4 linked regions of the Rattus norvegicus genome follow. The protein of the gene in region 2 purifies or fractionates together with the protein of the main gene of each other region. This does not show direct contact. Links are inferred from orthologs where the notes say so. Each region holds a gene or a part of one and is shown on either strand. Other genes may lie near its edges.

Region 1 (3,500 bases), on a different chromosome or scaffold from region 2:
TGTGGGGTATAACTGCAAGGAGGACCCCACACTGACAGGTTCTGCCCCAGTCAGGACACTGTGGTGCATGTGCAAGGGAAACCCCAAGCTCCTGGCCCTGCCCATTGCTCTCCACTGTCCCTGCATGTATGTACTTGTTTCAGGTAGAGAACTGAACAGAACGGCATGAGAAAACCAAATTAAACACAGCCCCTCTAAGCAATTCTGGTGGTCACCCCAGCTGAGACCCAGATCCAGGCATCCCTGCCCACTCCACACCCAGTTCAGGGCGAGCCCAATCCAGTGCTCACTTTCATCAGCTTGCATTCCCGGGAATCCGAGAAGGCAGGGAACAGCTCCTCATACTTCTGAACAGCAAGCTGAGCAACAGGAGAGAGGGGGAGAAAAGGTGAGAGAGACTCGGGCACCAAAAGCACTGGCTGGCAGTTCTGTTTTGGTGCTCCATGCCCTGGCATCCAGGGTCCCTGACTCATGCCTGATGGTGCCATTCCTCAGCGCAGCTGAGTCCAGCTGGTAGAGGTGGCTGTAGGAAGGGGCAAGTTGTCCAGGTACAGAGAGAGGAAGGAGGCAAAAGAGCCTACTGCACCTGTCAGGTCTATAGCTGAGTTTTCACACGTGGAGCCCTTCTGAGAGCCGTGAGCAGGTCAGTGGCAGTGGGAAAACTTACTGGGGATACTAGGTGAGTTGGGTGGGGGTGCAGCCTGCTCTGACAAAACCCAACTGTGTGCTTATAATTAATTCATCACTGCGGGCTGGGATGTGGCTCAGTGGCAGAGCATTTGCATAGCAGACAGGAGGCTCAGGTTCCATGCCCACCACAGAAAGTAAAAACAGCAAACTGTTCTACCTCCCCCAAATGCAGAGCTGCCAGCTGTACTTGGGAAGGAGACTGTGGGGCAGCCAGACGTCACGTAGTCCTTGTGGGGCTACTAGAGGATTGAAAGCCAACACTCAGTTTCCAGACCCTTCTACCAACCATAGCTATCCCTATCCCTGACCTCTTGCCCAGAAGTACAGAGATTCAGTGGGCAGGCATAAAGCCAAAAGTCAAGTCATGCCACTTTCGAGTCCCAGGTCCTGGCAGGATCTGTGCCTGGGCCTCAGCAGCTTCTGCACCACAGCTGAATGGGACAGTCAGGATATATAGTAGCCATAAAGGGGACAGGCCAGCCATCAGCTGGGAAATCAGAAAAGCATCCAGACTATTTTCCATCCTAACCAAAGGGTAAGGGGCCAAGTGGATAAACTGACCTCTAACACTGAGAAACATCTTGGCCTGTTGACAAAAAGTGACAGCATGGAAAGGCAGTGGCTCACCTTGGCGTTCAGCATGTCGATGCAGAAGTGGCAAAGGGCCGCCTTGAAGAAGTAGTCTTTGGCGCTGTACTTGAGGAGGGGACTGTCCATGGCGCTGGTCCCCACCTACAGCCACATATCACCATGAGCTTAGACAGGAAACTCAAGGGTGAAGGTCACTGTGGCCCTAAAGCCTGCTGGGAGCTAAGCCCATACTCTGCTGTGAGGTCTGGGGACCACAGGATGACAAGTGAACAGAGACAGCTCAGCAAGGTTACAGAGTGTTGCCAGAATGACCAGAACATGATGAGGGTGTGGGTGGAGTAAGGGAAGGCAGGTGTCTGTGGGCCTCTCCCCAATCAGTGGGGAGGAGGCACCACTGCTAGACACACAGGAAATTGGCATTTAGTGGGCAGAGGGGTGGCAGTTGTGGGAGCATGAGAAGTAGTGCCCGCCCTTCTCCCACAGCCAGCTGCCTGCCTTTCTTCTGGTCACACACTGGCCCCCCCAAGCACAGTGTCACATGACACCTGGTGCTTCCCATGGTTCAGGGTCCCTCCTCTGCTGATTCTTCTCCCTTGTGCCCTACTTTTTCTGTAGAGGATACCCAGCTCTGGGGACAGCTCCTGTGAGGAGGGGCAGGACACACCTAGGACAGGTTGTAGGTGGAAGAAGCATTTGGTGAGAGTGGCCTGGGAGAGAGTGCAGACCGAGTGGGGCAGGCAGAGGTGGGTGGCAGAAGCTGACAGCCAGGCAAAGCCCACCTGCTCATAGATGTCGATAGCCTTCTGGTACTGCTCCAGCTGTGCGGCGTAGCCAGCCACCTTCAGCAGACACTTGTTGGCTGAGCTGTGGGGAGGAGGGGCATGAAGGGACAGTAGCAAGTCCCTTCAAGACAGGAGGGGAGGCTGGGGAGGGGCTACCTGTTGGACTCTTCTCCTTTGTAGTAGTCTGCAGATTGCTCGTAGTGGGCAATGGCCTGGGGAGACATGAGAATGGGACAAATGAAATGGTGGACAGGGTGGAGCAGTGACTCAACACAGCCTCCCCTGCCTTCCGAGACCATAGGGTGGGACATCATGGTGGGTGGGAATGGGAACACCAGAGGCTCAGGCACAGCCAGCCTGATACCAGCTCACCTTCTCTACATCCACCAGTTCTGTCTCATAGATCTCAGCAATGGAGATGTGGTGCTTGGCTGCGATTGTGAATCTGCCCTGGGGATGAGGGGGAGAGCACACTAAAGAGATGTGACCAGAGAAGTGTTCCACAGCAATTCTCACCCCAATCCACTTTAGCCTCCTTGGGTTCCCACCTCGGTAAGGGGTCTGACCACACAGACAGGGGGATGACTTGTGGAGGGATGAACAGCAATGAGCTGACAAGAGCAGTGGCCTAGTGTGGCCTTCTCCCTAGCGGCTAGCTCTCAGGACAGTACCTTACTAGAGGGTGAGGCTGAGCATTTCTCAGGCTCCTACAGACACCAGGGGAGTGCCGGGCAAGGGAAGCACCTGCATAGGCACTGCCCCCACAGGGGATCATGAAGGGGACAGAGGCAGCATGAGACGGGTGTGTGCCGCAGCAGACACCCCATTCTGTCACTCAGCTCAGCGATCAAATCCCTGACCCCTAAAGCACAGTATAGACAGGATGGGACAGAGCAAGGCAGGATCAGCAAGCAACCCTTACCATGTCTGTATAGATCTCAATTGCTCTCATCAGACAGTTAATGGCCTCTGGGGAGGAAAGAGAAGATGGAGAGGTCATTATAGCAGGTCCTGAGGACAGGAGGCAGACTATACTCCCTCAGGGAGATGACGGGCACATGGTTGCCTTGGCTTCAGGGCTCTTAGGATCTCGAGCAACCGGAAGGGTGGGAGCCCTAGACCCCAGGCAACCTAGTTGGACTGAGTATTTCTGCATACAGAGACATGCTGGGCACTTCTTCCCAGGGAGGCCAGCTCCCTTAGGCAGCCACACTTCCAGCTTGCAAGCAGATCAGGGCACAGTGGCACAGTCAGACTCCTATAGAGTTTGAATCAGACTATCACAGCCCTGCCATCAAAGGGCAAACTGCTAGCTGGGGCAGAGGCTATAGGGCTCAGTGTCTGACCTTGAAGACTGTCCTGAGTGAGTCCTATCCTTGAGTTTAGCCTGACTGGCCTCTCCTGCAGAGAAGGCTGGATGCAATGAGCACTGGGCCC
Region 2 (4,280 bases):
ACCAACTAAAACCAACACTTAAAATATACTGTGTACTAAGATCTTTAACTTGTTTTATGTGACTAAGGATCCAGGTATGACATATTGTCCAGTAAGTAATTCTGGATGAAGTTAATCACTGGACAATTTCATCAATGAATTTGTCCAAAATTAATGGCTATTTTGTTTTATTTCTTTTGTTTTGACTCTCTGGCCTATCTTAAATTTAATTTCAGAGTTCTTCCACTTTGTTCTTTAACAGATTATCTCATTAGGTCCAGAGATTAAATCATTTTAATTAAAGTGACTAAATTTTTTTTTAATTTTCTTTTTTTTCCGGAGCTGGGGACCGAACCCAGAGCCTTGCGCTTGCTAGGCAAGCGCTCTACCGCTGAGCTAAATCCCCAACCCTGTGACTAAATTTTGATCCAGAAATTTTTAATGCAGTTGCAAATTTGATCTTTCTTCGCACCATCTTCCACCCACAAACAGAAAAATGAAACAAACTAAGCTAAAATAAAATACTACAGTTACCATTCCTGAGTATGAATGAGACCTAAGTTTTCAGTGAGAATTAATTACTACTATAAAGAACTGTTGAAAGGCAAGTCTTGAAGGTCATCGTCAGCTGACGTAATTTCTGAAAAGTGCTGCTTCCTTGAAGCAGGTTCTATCAATAATCAGGTCGATTCATTTAACAGCTCATGTGTAATGTGGCAGGTTTTACATGTGAACGCCTATCAGACTCACCATTCTTTCAAATTTCAAATTCAGGTCAACACACTATGGTAGTTTTAAAAATCTTCATTATTTAACACCAATTTAAATGATACATACTTAACCAAATAATTACCCCTCTTCTCACTGCATTTCAAGCCTGATGATTCTAATTTAATTGAAAAACTAATTTAACATCTTTCTGAGTAATTCTCACATTCAGTCAGAGGTAGAAACCTACTGTCGAGTCCGTGACTTGCATGTATTAAAAACAGTATGCACAAACAAAATTCCAATAGGTCACTGGCCTGACGAAGTGTAAACTCCTTGAATAGACCAAGACCTCTGGAATGCCTCCGGGTCCTAGCTTCACTCAGGGTGACTTCACTACAATCTCTTGTACACATCATTCACGGCTACTCTGAATCATCCCACCTGGGACTTACTTCTCTCAATCGTCACTGTCACCGGCATCCTTCAAGTTCCCCTGGCTTCAGGAGGTACACAGTGAGCCATTTATAATGAAATTGCTACTGCATTCACTATCTGTTGAACTTAACTTGTACTGAATGAAAAGTTACCACCTTGGATCATAATTTTGTCATCTGCTTCAGAAGCAATTTGTCTTCTTCCCCTTGGTAACACTGGAAGCTTTGGGAAGCACATGGTATATCACAATAAATGTCTAATGTTGTTAGTGATGGAAAAATTTAGGCACAGGTGACTAATCTTGTTTGAAAGTAGTTTGTTAGGTTGAGATGGACTACTTTCTTTCAAAGAGTGCAGCTAAATTTACAAATTCCTTCACATGCAACTTGTATATCTATATTATTGACACCTTTCATTGCCCTTATTTTCCAGTGGCTCATTCTATTCCTACAACCAACCTTACTAAAAATACTACTATGTCTTCACACTGTCATAAATATTGTATAACTTCTTATAAAATTAAAAATCCTAACAAGCTGTGAATTGTGAGTTGAAAAAGAGGCTTTATTTATTTTTCTTACCTAATTTCAAGTGTGTGTCCATTTACTGGCTTTAAACACATTACACTTTTTAAAACTGTTTTAATTATTCCAATTTATGACAGAATGGCAACATCCTTTTTAATATTTCATACACTTTTTTCAAGTATTCTGCCCTTTCTTCTTTAAAACATTATTGAGAAAGAACTTCAGAACCAGAAAACAGTAATCTAATTACTTTCTGTAATTACTAGGTTATTCCTTTCCCTGATCCATAAAGGCAAAAACAAGTGTTAAGTCATCAAAACTATCTTCTATTGCCTTAGCAGTAGGGCAAGGTCTAGCTCAGAAACGTTCCAAGTAAATCGCCAGACCTTTCACAACAGGCACTCTAGCAATGCTAGCAATGACACATAACCTTTGTAACTCACTGTTACCATACTAACACATCGTTATTGCTGTGCTAAAAGCTTAATACCCACTCCCCAAATGTCACTTCTTTAAAAAAGAGGAGGAGGAGGAGGAGGAGGAGAAGGAGGAGGAGGAGGAGGAGGAGGAGGAGGAGGAGGAGGAGGAGGAGGAGGAGGAGGAGGAGGAGGAGGAGGAGGTGATGGTAGTAGTAGTAGTAATAGTAGTAGTAGTAGTAGTAGTAGTAATAGTAGTAGTAGTAGTAGTAGTAGTAGTAGTAGTAGTAGTAGTAGTAAGATCCTGAATGAGTAAAGCAAAGGAAACGGCGAGGCTTGGGAAATAGGGCTACTCCCCAAAAACTAGCATATAGAGAAAGAAAAACTTAAGACTATTAACCAACTCACCACTGTGCAACGTATCATATAGGTTTAAACTTTCGTCTAAATTCAACTTAAGGAAACCGCTCGTAACTGGGACAAATGATGTGAACCTTCTCCAAAGAACCCAACAACTCGCTTTGGAACTCCAAAGTCACTGACAGAAGGCCGGTAGTTTTCCTCCCACGCCCCTACTCCCGGTTCAGCAGGTCCTCGGGTCCCCAAACTTCGAACTTCAGCACTGCTCTTACCCAGGCCTGCACGCCTCATCCTGCCACGAGAGGGGAAGGAGGGCAAGGAAGAGTGGGTAGGAAAGGGCCAGGGTCACCCAACCTCGGCTTCAGTCCTAAGGCTCCTCAGAGAAACAACTTTTTGCCTCAGAGCGCCACGACATCAGTAAAGTCTAAACACCGCGCCGGTTTATGTCGTCACCCGGACACATATAGGCGCCCTGCAATGAGATTTTAGTTGCATTCTGGGAAATGTAGTCTTCGGGCTTCTGGGGCACAGGGTAAGAGGGGCGTGGTAGGAACCAAGTCTGAAGCGGGTGGGGTTTCCGGAAGGGCAGAGGCTGCTGCTGTGGCTCTAGTCCTGTGAGTCTGGGTCTTTACCTCTTCCAGAGCTGCCAGTAAGGGACTTTATGATGTTAGTGCCAACTTTAGCCGGGGAGAGTTATTCCTCCCTGGCCTGGATGATGGTGACTCATCTTTCTTGATTTTCCCTTGCACTCCCAAAGTCCGAGGAGAGTAAGTCAGTGCAAACTTGGTTCGAGAGTCTCATCTATACTGTCTGAGCCTCTTAGCATTAAAGGAAGATCAATCCTCTTACTTCCTGATCCTGCCCAGTGGAATAGAAAGGGAAAAAAAAAATCTGTATCTTCGCAGTAGAACATCTGGTAGGGAAGTGGGGAGTCTCTCATTCCTCATTCCTCGTTTAATGCATTTGCTCTATGTCTGGAAAGAACCGTGATGTTTAGCTTTTAAACACTCCCTCCTACTTAGGGACCTTTTAAATAACGCAAATAACTTGCGTATTTCAAACCCCAAAGTCATTGACAGAAGGCCAGTAGTTTCCTCCCACGCCCCTACTCCTGGCTCAGCAGGTTCTAGGGTCCCCAAACTTCGAACCTCAGCTCTTTCTTACCCAGGCCTGCAGACTTCATCCTGCCAGGAGAGGGAAAGATAGACAAAGAGGAGTGGGTAGATAAAATTAAGTGTTCTAGTGATACTTACAAAACCAAGAACATGGGCAGAAAAAAACCCAAATACACACAAATACCTAATACTTGTTTGGGTGGAGCATGGGGTCCAATTATGGGCTTAAAAGTTTGTTAGGATGCGTGGAAGTATAGTGGTTAATATCAAAGGATCATTACAAGGTTACACAAAAATAATGTTTTTTGAAGCCAATAGTTATTTACTGCCCATGTTAATATAGTTGTGTTGCTACTGTATGGCAGTGATGTGGTATTTATAATAGAGCTTTCTGAAACTACTATACTATTATTATTATAAAGTATACATTATAAACACTGATCATATAAGTCAATTCCCAACTTAAACATTGACTATAATTACAGCTTAAGTCTCTGCCTTAAGACAGTGTCTGTAAAATACACATGAAATGATTTACAATGTGATATATTAACTGGGAAAATAAACTTTAATAGCATTAAAAGAGTCTTCATAAAGATAAAGTAAGCCGCCATTCTCCAAAAGCAATGCGATTAAATGATGATGGATCTGGGGAAGATATAATTCAATGAGAGAAACGATAGACTTCCTTTTTCTGTGACTGTCCATCCTTCTTGCCATACCAAACTCTTGATATT
Region 3 (3,500 bases), on a different chromosome or scaffold from region 2:
CACAAAGAGCCTTTTTTTTTTTTTTTTTTTTTTTTGGTTGGGAGGATTCCATGAAGTGTGTTCTCTATTCAGATGATAAATTGAACTGTCAGAATTTATTTAAATTAATTTTTTCCCCATTGACTTATGTCTCCAGTCTCCAAGTATGTGACTGCTTCTGGGCCCTGGTCTTTGCTCTTGGGTCCAGGGTAAGATTGTCTATATCCTTGTACTGCTGTCATATGGTTATTTATTATGGCTTTGTAGTTGGTACTGAGCGCTATATATAGTGTGCACAGTAGAGAAAGATTGTTGAGCTTTCCCTTAAGGGCTGGAGATAGGCCTTCTTCAGACAGGTCCTATGTAGAAAGCCTTTCTTTTATAAGCACAGGAGGCCATTGGGGCTAACATAGACAACATTCCAAGGACTGTCAAGTGATGGGGAACCACTAGGAAGGGTTTGGAAGGTGGTGACTTTGGCCTGGAACTTCTCCAGGCCTAATGTCTGGGACATGTTGCATTTCTAGATGAGATGGCAGTCCTCCTCCTGTTGTCAGGGAAAGATGTTTACAAAACAGGAGATACCTATCTCTCAGGGCCATTCCCTTAAGTGTTCCTTCCACTGCCTGGTCCCCTCTGTTCTTTCTCTCTCTGACTGTTTTTCAAGCACTCCATTTTGCTTTTGCCCCATGTGAAATGCCTTGCATGCCCTTCTGCAGATCATCATCTTGCAACCTGTCTTCACTAAACCTCATTTTACCTTCTTAAAAGTGATGCTCAGATCTGCATTCAAGCCTACGTGCTTGTGTGCACGCCTGTAATCCTAGCACTGTGTAGGCGAAGGCAGGAGGATCACAAGTTCAAGGCAAGCCTGGGCTGTGTAAATGAGAAAACTCAGCAACCACAACTCCTTCCAGCTACGAAACCCCAGTTTACACTTTGTTAACCCAGCCTTCCCGCCTCCTTGGCTGCACTGTACACAACTCCCTCAACTTTGTTTCCGCCTGTGTGTGTTGGGGTTTCTTAAATCTTCTCAGGGGTTTCTCATGTCTGTTCAGCCTGTCAGTTCCTAATTATGTTGTTTCTCAGGGGCGAGGATTATATCTTCCTTGCCCTTTGGCTCTTGGTAGGCAGACCAGTGCTCAGCACATTAGGTCGCAGAACAGAGAGTGGGATTGGCTGGATACTGGTTGAGGTTTATCGCCTGCTGTGTGGCCTTGAGCAACTTACTTGACCTTTCTGGTTTCAGTTTTTATTTATAAACTGAGAGCAGTGATGATGCTTTCCTCTGGGGTTACTGACTTAGCAGTGTCTCAGATACAGTAAGCTCTCTCTAAATGCTATCAGCGTTGTTCTTAGCATGAGGTTTGAAATGAAGCCTGAAGTGCCACATACAGATTTTACAGTTGAGTAGCACCGTCACCTTAAATCAGCTGTAAGGCAGCATTAAGAGAAGTTGTCTTTCCTGACCGAGGTGCTGGTGACCACCCCTGTCTCACTCATTTCCTCTTCCTTTGATAGGCAGGTCCACGAGATCCAGTCTCACATGGGACGCCTGGAGACGGCAGACAAGCAGTCTGTGCACTGTGAGTAATTAACCAGGGAGAGCAGAGTCCTTTCCCTGATGGCATGGGGCTAATGGGCTGGGTTTCCTGACTGCATTCTGCCTTAGGGGCTTAATGACTCAGCATGGAATGAGTTGTTGTTAGAATGGACAGAAAAACCCTATGGCCAATAGATTTCCCCGATTGTGCCCCTTGGAGTCCCACCAGTTTTATCCCCCATTACCCTTCCACTCAACCTGACGGCCCTATGGGAATGGAAGTTCTCCTTCCATCTGTCTTAATCTAATTACCTAGTCTGAAAATTCAGACATGTTGACCTGGAACTGGCCATCTCTTCCAAGCTGAGACTCTGGCTTCTTAGTAGGATTATTCAGACAGCTAGCAATATTAATTAGTTTAGTTCCCATACCACAGGTTTGTGTGTGTGTGTGTGTGTGTGTGTGTGTGTGTGTGTAGCATGTGGGTTGTGGTTTGGAGTTTTTTGGTTTTGTTCCAAGCAAAGGCCCCTTACTGAGCCAGCCCTATAGACCTCCCTTGGAAGCTCTTGTCACCCTACAGCCCAGCTCTGGCCAGGCCTCTTCTGTTTCCTGTTTCCTCTTTTTCCCTGGCTCCCCAGGGTGGTCCTTCCCTTGACTCTGCACCCTATAGTGCCCTAATCTAAATTGTCTGTGTTTGCTGCAGGTGCGAAGACCTAGCAAGAGGGTGGTACTGGGGTTGTCATTTCTCCTGGGTGCGGCAGCCGCCTGGGTGCGTGCTCTGTGCACTTTAGTTTCTGCCTACTGGCCTTTGTTTGCCTTTCCAGCAATCTCACTGTCGCCTGATTAGAAGTGGAAAGAGGTCATTTTGACAGCTTTATCAAAGGGGATAAGGAAAATGACTATCATATTTTCTACCTCTGCCTGTGCTTTCCTGGGTCTTTCCGATTGATATGTGGTCTATTTTGAGGGCCCTAACACATCTCAGCCTACCATTCTTTCAGAAAGCCTCTGGGTATTTCTATACTGGTCTTCCCTTTCCTTTATACCTTTTATTGCTCTTTTAGCCTTATTACTATAAGGAATTCAGTTGGCAACACTTCTCCTAGCGGTTTATAGTCCATATCTGAGACCAGTCTCAAATAGACCTACATCAGAAAATTTAACTTAACAGAGTTTTATGGGCAACCATTAAATATTCATTTTATTTTCTAATGAATATAATAATATTTGTGTACATTGTGCTCCTTTGGGAATACATATGCTTTAGTTTGTGTTATAGCTTATCATTTTTACTTTGTTGTTTTGGGGTTTTTTGTTTGTTTTTGTTTTGTTTGTGACTGTGGCCCTGGCTGTCCTGGAACTTGCTCTGTAGACCAGGCTGGCCTAGAACTCAGAGATCTACCTGCCTCTGCCTCCCAAGTGCTGGGTTAAAGGTGTATGCCAACATGGCCTGGCACGATCCATCACTCTTAATTTACGTTATTATCTTTTTTCTAGCAGTTATTCTTTCTCTCCCCTCTCTTTTGTGCAGTAGTGGAAAATGAAATCCAAGCAAGCATAGACCAGATATTCAGCCACCTGGAGCGTCTGGAGATTCTGTCAAGCAAGGAGCCCCCCAATAGAAGGCAGAACGCCAAACTGTGAGTGTTGGTCCCTGACAGGCTTGGCTACCACGGGCCCCTAAGGCAGGCCTTTCTCCCATTGGAAGTTTTAGAATATTCTGAAAAATCTGGGTACATGCTAAAGAAATGAAGTCTGTGCGAAGAGAAAGTCTCCCTAAAATACACAGTTCTGTGTAAACAATAGACCCCCAAGTTAACCTGTGATCGTGGCCCCTTGTTTCATTGAGGTGATTATAACCCACTGTCCTTTGAGGTAATTTTGAAAATGTGCGTTTTCTGACCAGATCCCTGGTCACTGGAAGCTTAGTGCTGCTGAGGAGTTTGGCTCTGCTGTTTGGTTCCCACTGGCGTCTGTT
Region 4 (3,500 bases), on a different chromosome or scaffold from region 2:
AAGCACACTTACACTTTACCCAGTCATTTTCTGCTGAAATCGTGCTTTTGTTGTTTTTGTTTGTTTCTTTAGCACTTGATAATTGGCCTTTTTACTCTTTATAAAGTTTCTTCAATGAGGTACGTGGTAAGAGACCATTCACATCATGGTATTACTACTGTGGATACCATTAATAACTTGCAGTATGCTGGTTAAAAGAGAAGACAGGCAAAGAGAGGAGGAAAATCCTCAAAGGGCAACATTTAATTATGGCTGATGAGCTGCCATCCATTTCAACTGAATCCACTCAGAGCAGGATGAATTCCAATCAGCAAAGCCCTTACTGTAATAAAATGTCTTTACAGGTAAACGAATCAGCAAACACAGGAAAGCAGGTAGTACTTACTTTCGAAGGTGGTCATGTTCTTTCAGAAACAGTTCAGTTCTCCTGTTGTTTACTCCAGACCCACTTTTATATGACCTAAAGCAATGTCAAGAAAAGGCGAGAGCAGTTTTAGTAGATGCTGCAACATCAGGTTAAGGCACGAAACCCTAATGACAACAGAGGAGAGTCCACAGTTCCAAGTAGGCAATCAGAATATGGTGCTCTCCACTTCCCTCAAGGATGAACGACTACCACAGATGTAAAGGGTGAGTTTGTTTCTCCAGCTTAGGTTTAGGGGTTCTCTGTTTTTCACCAAACTAACCCAGGCTTCTGAACAGGGGACCTTACTTTTCCTTTGTGTATTAACTTGGCGTCTTATTTTCTCCAGCAAAGGTAGAACTTCAGACTAGTTAGCACATGGCGCACAGGGCAAGAAGCTACTGAACCAATGTTATCCGTCACAGCAGCATGAGCCGCTCATGAGCGGGAAGCCTAAGGAACTCTGCAACTCAAATGTTCAGCCTGGCACACTTCAGGATCTCCATGTTCACTGTCAGCATATTACAATTACCAAAGGGGACCTGTACTTCTATCAACGATCTCATTCCCTGCTTTTCACTAGAAGTAAGTATTAAGAAGACTTTGTTTCCTTCTCTTTTTTTGGGAGACAGGGTTTCTCCATGTAACCCTGGCTGTCCTAGAATTCTCTATGTATACCGGGAATTTCAAATGTACCTGGAATCTCTATGTACCAAATTCACAGGAATCTGCCTGCTTCTGACTCCTGAGTGCTGAGGTTAAAGGCATGCGCCACCACAACTGGTCTTGAAGAACAATTTTTTTTTTAATTCCCAAACTGTACCAATGTCTATGAAAAGAGGGTCATGTTCTAAAACCCGAAGGCCTGGCTGAGGGACAGTGACAGCCTACAAGACCCAGGACAGACTAGCAAAGCAGCTGACATGACTCTCAAGTCTATGCACCGCCATTATGTAGCTGGATGATCTTAGAAAATCTCTCAGTAACTCCTTTTGTAAAATAAGACCTAATGAGAGCTGCCTCTTTCAAAAGAGTATCGTGGAACCAGAAAGGTAACCCACAGAAAAGGACTGTGTAAAATGCAAAAACAGTACAAAATATTCCAGCAAAGCCACCAGACAACCCTTGTTATGCAGGTATTAAGAGGCCTCGCTCACTAACAAGCTCCCCTCTGCAAACCCTTGTTACTCAGGTATACTAGGCCTCGCTCACTAACAAGCTCCTCTCTAGCACTTTGATGATGAACTCCTTCAAGGCTAAGCTGCCATTTTCACATAGACCTTTCACACAGAATGTCTTGTTCATAGTTGGTACTCAGACAATGGTTTAATGAATGAATGAATATATTTTTATCAACGATTCTTCAGAAACTAAAGGGTTATATCTAGTGGCTCCCACAAACTGTGGAAGAACTAAATGTATAGTTATTGAAGGCCGCCCCCTGTTGGTTCTGACCACAGTCTTCAAACTGTGTAAGGCAACTGTACAGACATTAAAGAAGGCGTATACATTCCTAACAACAAAACCATCACACTGTAGGTCAGGTGTGCTAGTGCACACTTTTCCTCCCAGCTCTTAGGAATCAGAGTTTGAGGCCAGTCTGCTCTACACAGCAGGTTTCAGGCCTGCTAATGCTATGTAGAGAGGCTCTCTGGGAACGTTTCTCAGAGCACATGTAACACATACCAGCTTGTGATGAATGTGTGTCCTAGTTGATATAACATAGGTATCATAAACTATCACAAACGAGACCATCAGTCATTAGATGGTCCAAAATGGGAAAACTGTCTAGGTATGGTGGAAGCCACCTACCATCTCTGCCTTTGGGAGCAGAGTCAGAAGGGCCATACCCTAAGCCAGCCTGACCTCAAGAAAACAAACAACAAACAAACAAAAGACAGTCTTCAGCATCAGTCAGATACTCTATAGGACTTCTACAGGGCAGTACAGGGCAGTGAAGCAACAGATGGAAAGACAGTCCAAATCTTAGGGAGTGAGACCACTATAAAATGCTGAAGGCCTTAGTCTCACAAGGCTTTGATTCTACATTAAACCTAGAAACTCCTGCTCCCATACAAACATAGTTCAGAATTTCAGGGAAGCTAATAGCTATCTGAACACGAGAGAGAGAGAGAGAGAGAGAGAGAGAGAGAGAGAGGGGGGGGGGGAGAGAAAGAAAGAGAGGGGGTGGGTAGGGAGAAGAGAGAAGAAAGAGAGAGAAATAGAACCCTATTATTGGCATTCATGCCATTCTTAGCATGGACGGAAGGGAATCACTCAAGCTGGACTTAGGAAAGTCAGGGTTGGCAGGGGCTCACAGGAAGCCTGGGAGATGGCAAAGTAGAGTCAGCCCAGACTTTAGCTTCAAAGGAAAATGAGATGGAAAATCAGAAACCCCAAAGTTTAAATCCTGGTTTTGCTACTCAATTTGCAATTAGCCACAGATACAGCCTAAATCCACATAAACATTGTATACAGTAACACAAAAGGTAACTTACTCAATATCTTTTCGTACTGATCCCATGAGATTCTCCCTTTCCCGTATTGCCATAAAGTTTGCTTTGGTTTTATGGAATTCATGTGTATAATCCTGAAATAAATCAACATCCAGTCTCAACACAAACTATTTATGTACTTTTATCCTTTTATCTGTTTATCAGGTTACACATTTCCAACACTAAGTGTCCTACCACCTAGTACCTTACCACACAGGACAGAGTTATAAGGAAAAAAACCTAAGGCAAAATGACTTCAAACAGCCTAGGGTAAAAGAAGGGAGAGATTTTCTACCCAATGGTGTACCTAATAAGGCTTAGAGCTTACTTTTTAAACCCTGTCTCCGACCCCATCTTTCCCTCACTGCTGAGGATCCAACCCATGGCCTTACAAATGCAAACCAAGTGCTCTACCACGGAGCTACACCCCCAGTTCATTTTTAAGAAAATTCTATTGTCTTCCATATTTGTATTACTTTTGTATATTAAGCAGTTGAGTCCTTTGTTGTAGTTTCTCGCATTAGATCTTCCTTAGCTCTTCAACGCTCAGAAATTTCTAAATTTCACTCATGATCAATTTGAAATGTTGACAGATTTTCTTT

What was found.
Region 1: the proteins of Bet1 (region 2) and Napa purify together in Homo sapiens (affinity purification with mass spectrometry; 5 studies listed by BioGRID and IntAct, with this or other methods). This does not show direct contact. The link is inferred for Rattus norvegicus from reciprocal best matches to the Homo sapiens genes BET1 and NAPA.
Region 3: the proteins of Bet1 (region 2) and Gosr2 purify together in Homo sapiens (affinity purification with mass spectrometry; 3 studies listed by BioGRID and IntAct, with this or other methods). This does not show direct contact. The link is inferred for Rattus norvegicus from reciprocal best matches to the Homo sapiens genes BET1 and GOSR2.
Region 4: the proteins of Bet1 (region 2) and Gosr1 purify together in Homo sapiens (affinity purification with mass spectrometry; 3 studies listed by BioGRID and IntAct, with this or other methods). This does not show direct contact. The link is inferred for Rattus norvegicus from reciprocal best matches to the Homo sapiens genes BET1 and GOSR1.

The regions. Positions count from the first base shown.
Region 1 is NC_086019.1:85,928,935-85,932,434, reverse strand, and holds part of Napa (alpha-soluble NSF attachment protein), read right to left. Parts: intron 3,033-3,500; coding exon 2,986-3,032; intron 2,537-2,985; coding exon of another isoform or gene 2,514-2,536; coding exon 2,436-2,513; intron 2,276-2,435; coding exon 2,220-2,275; intron 2,146-2,219; coding exon 2,061-2,145; intron 1,423-2,060; coding exon 1,318-1,422; intron 360-1,317; coding exon 291-359; intron 1-290. UniProt on the Homo sapiens protein: Required for vesicular transport between the endoplasmic reticulum and the Golgi apparatus. Together with GNA12 promotes CDH5 localization to plasma membrane.
Region 2 is NC_086022.1:33,078,363-33,082,642, forward strand, and holds the start of Bet1 (BET1 homolog), read right to left. Parts: upstream 2,801-4,280; 5' UTR 2,720-2,800; coding exon 2,701-2,719; intron 1-2,700. UniProt on the Homo sapiens protein: Required for vesicular transport from the ER to the Golgi complex. Functions as a SNARE involved in the docking process of ER-derived vesicles with the cis-Golgi membrane.
Region 3 is NC_086028.1:89,095,633-89,099,132, reverse strand, and holds part of Gosr2 (Golgi SNAP receptor complex member 2), read left to right. Parts: intron 1-1,500; coding exon 1,501-1,565; intron 1,566-3,053; coding exon 3,054-3,162; intron 3,163-3,500. UniProt on the Homo sapiens protein: Involved in transport of proteins from the cis/medial-Golgi to the trans-Golgi network.
Region 4 is NC_086028.1:62,091,816-62,095,315, forward strand, and holds part of Gosr1 (Golgi SNAP receptor complex member 1), read right to left. Parts: intron 2,994-3,500; coding exon 2,902-2,993; intron 461-2,901; coding exon 386-460; intron 380-385; exon of another isoform or gene 1-379. UniProt on the Homo sapiens protein: Involved in transport from the ER to the Golgi apparatus as well as in intra-Golgi transport. It belongs to a super-family of proteins called t-SNAREs or soluble NSF (N-ethylmaleimide-sensitive factor) attachment protein receptor.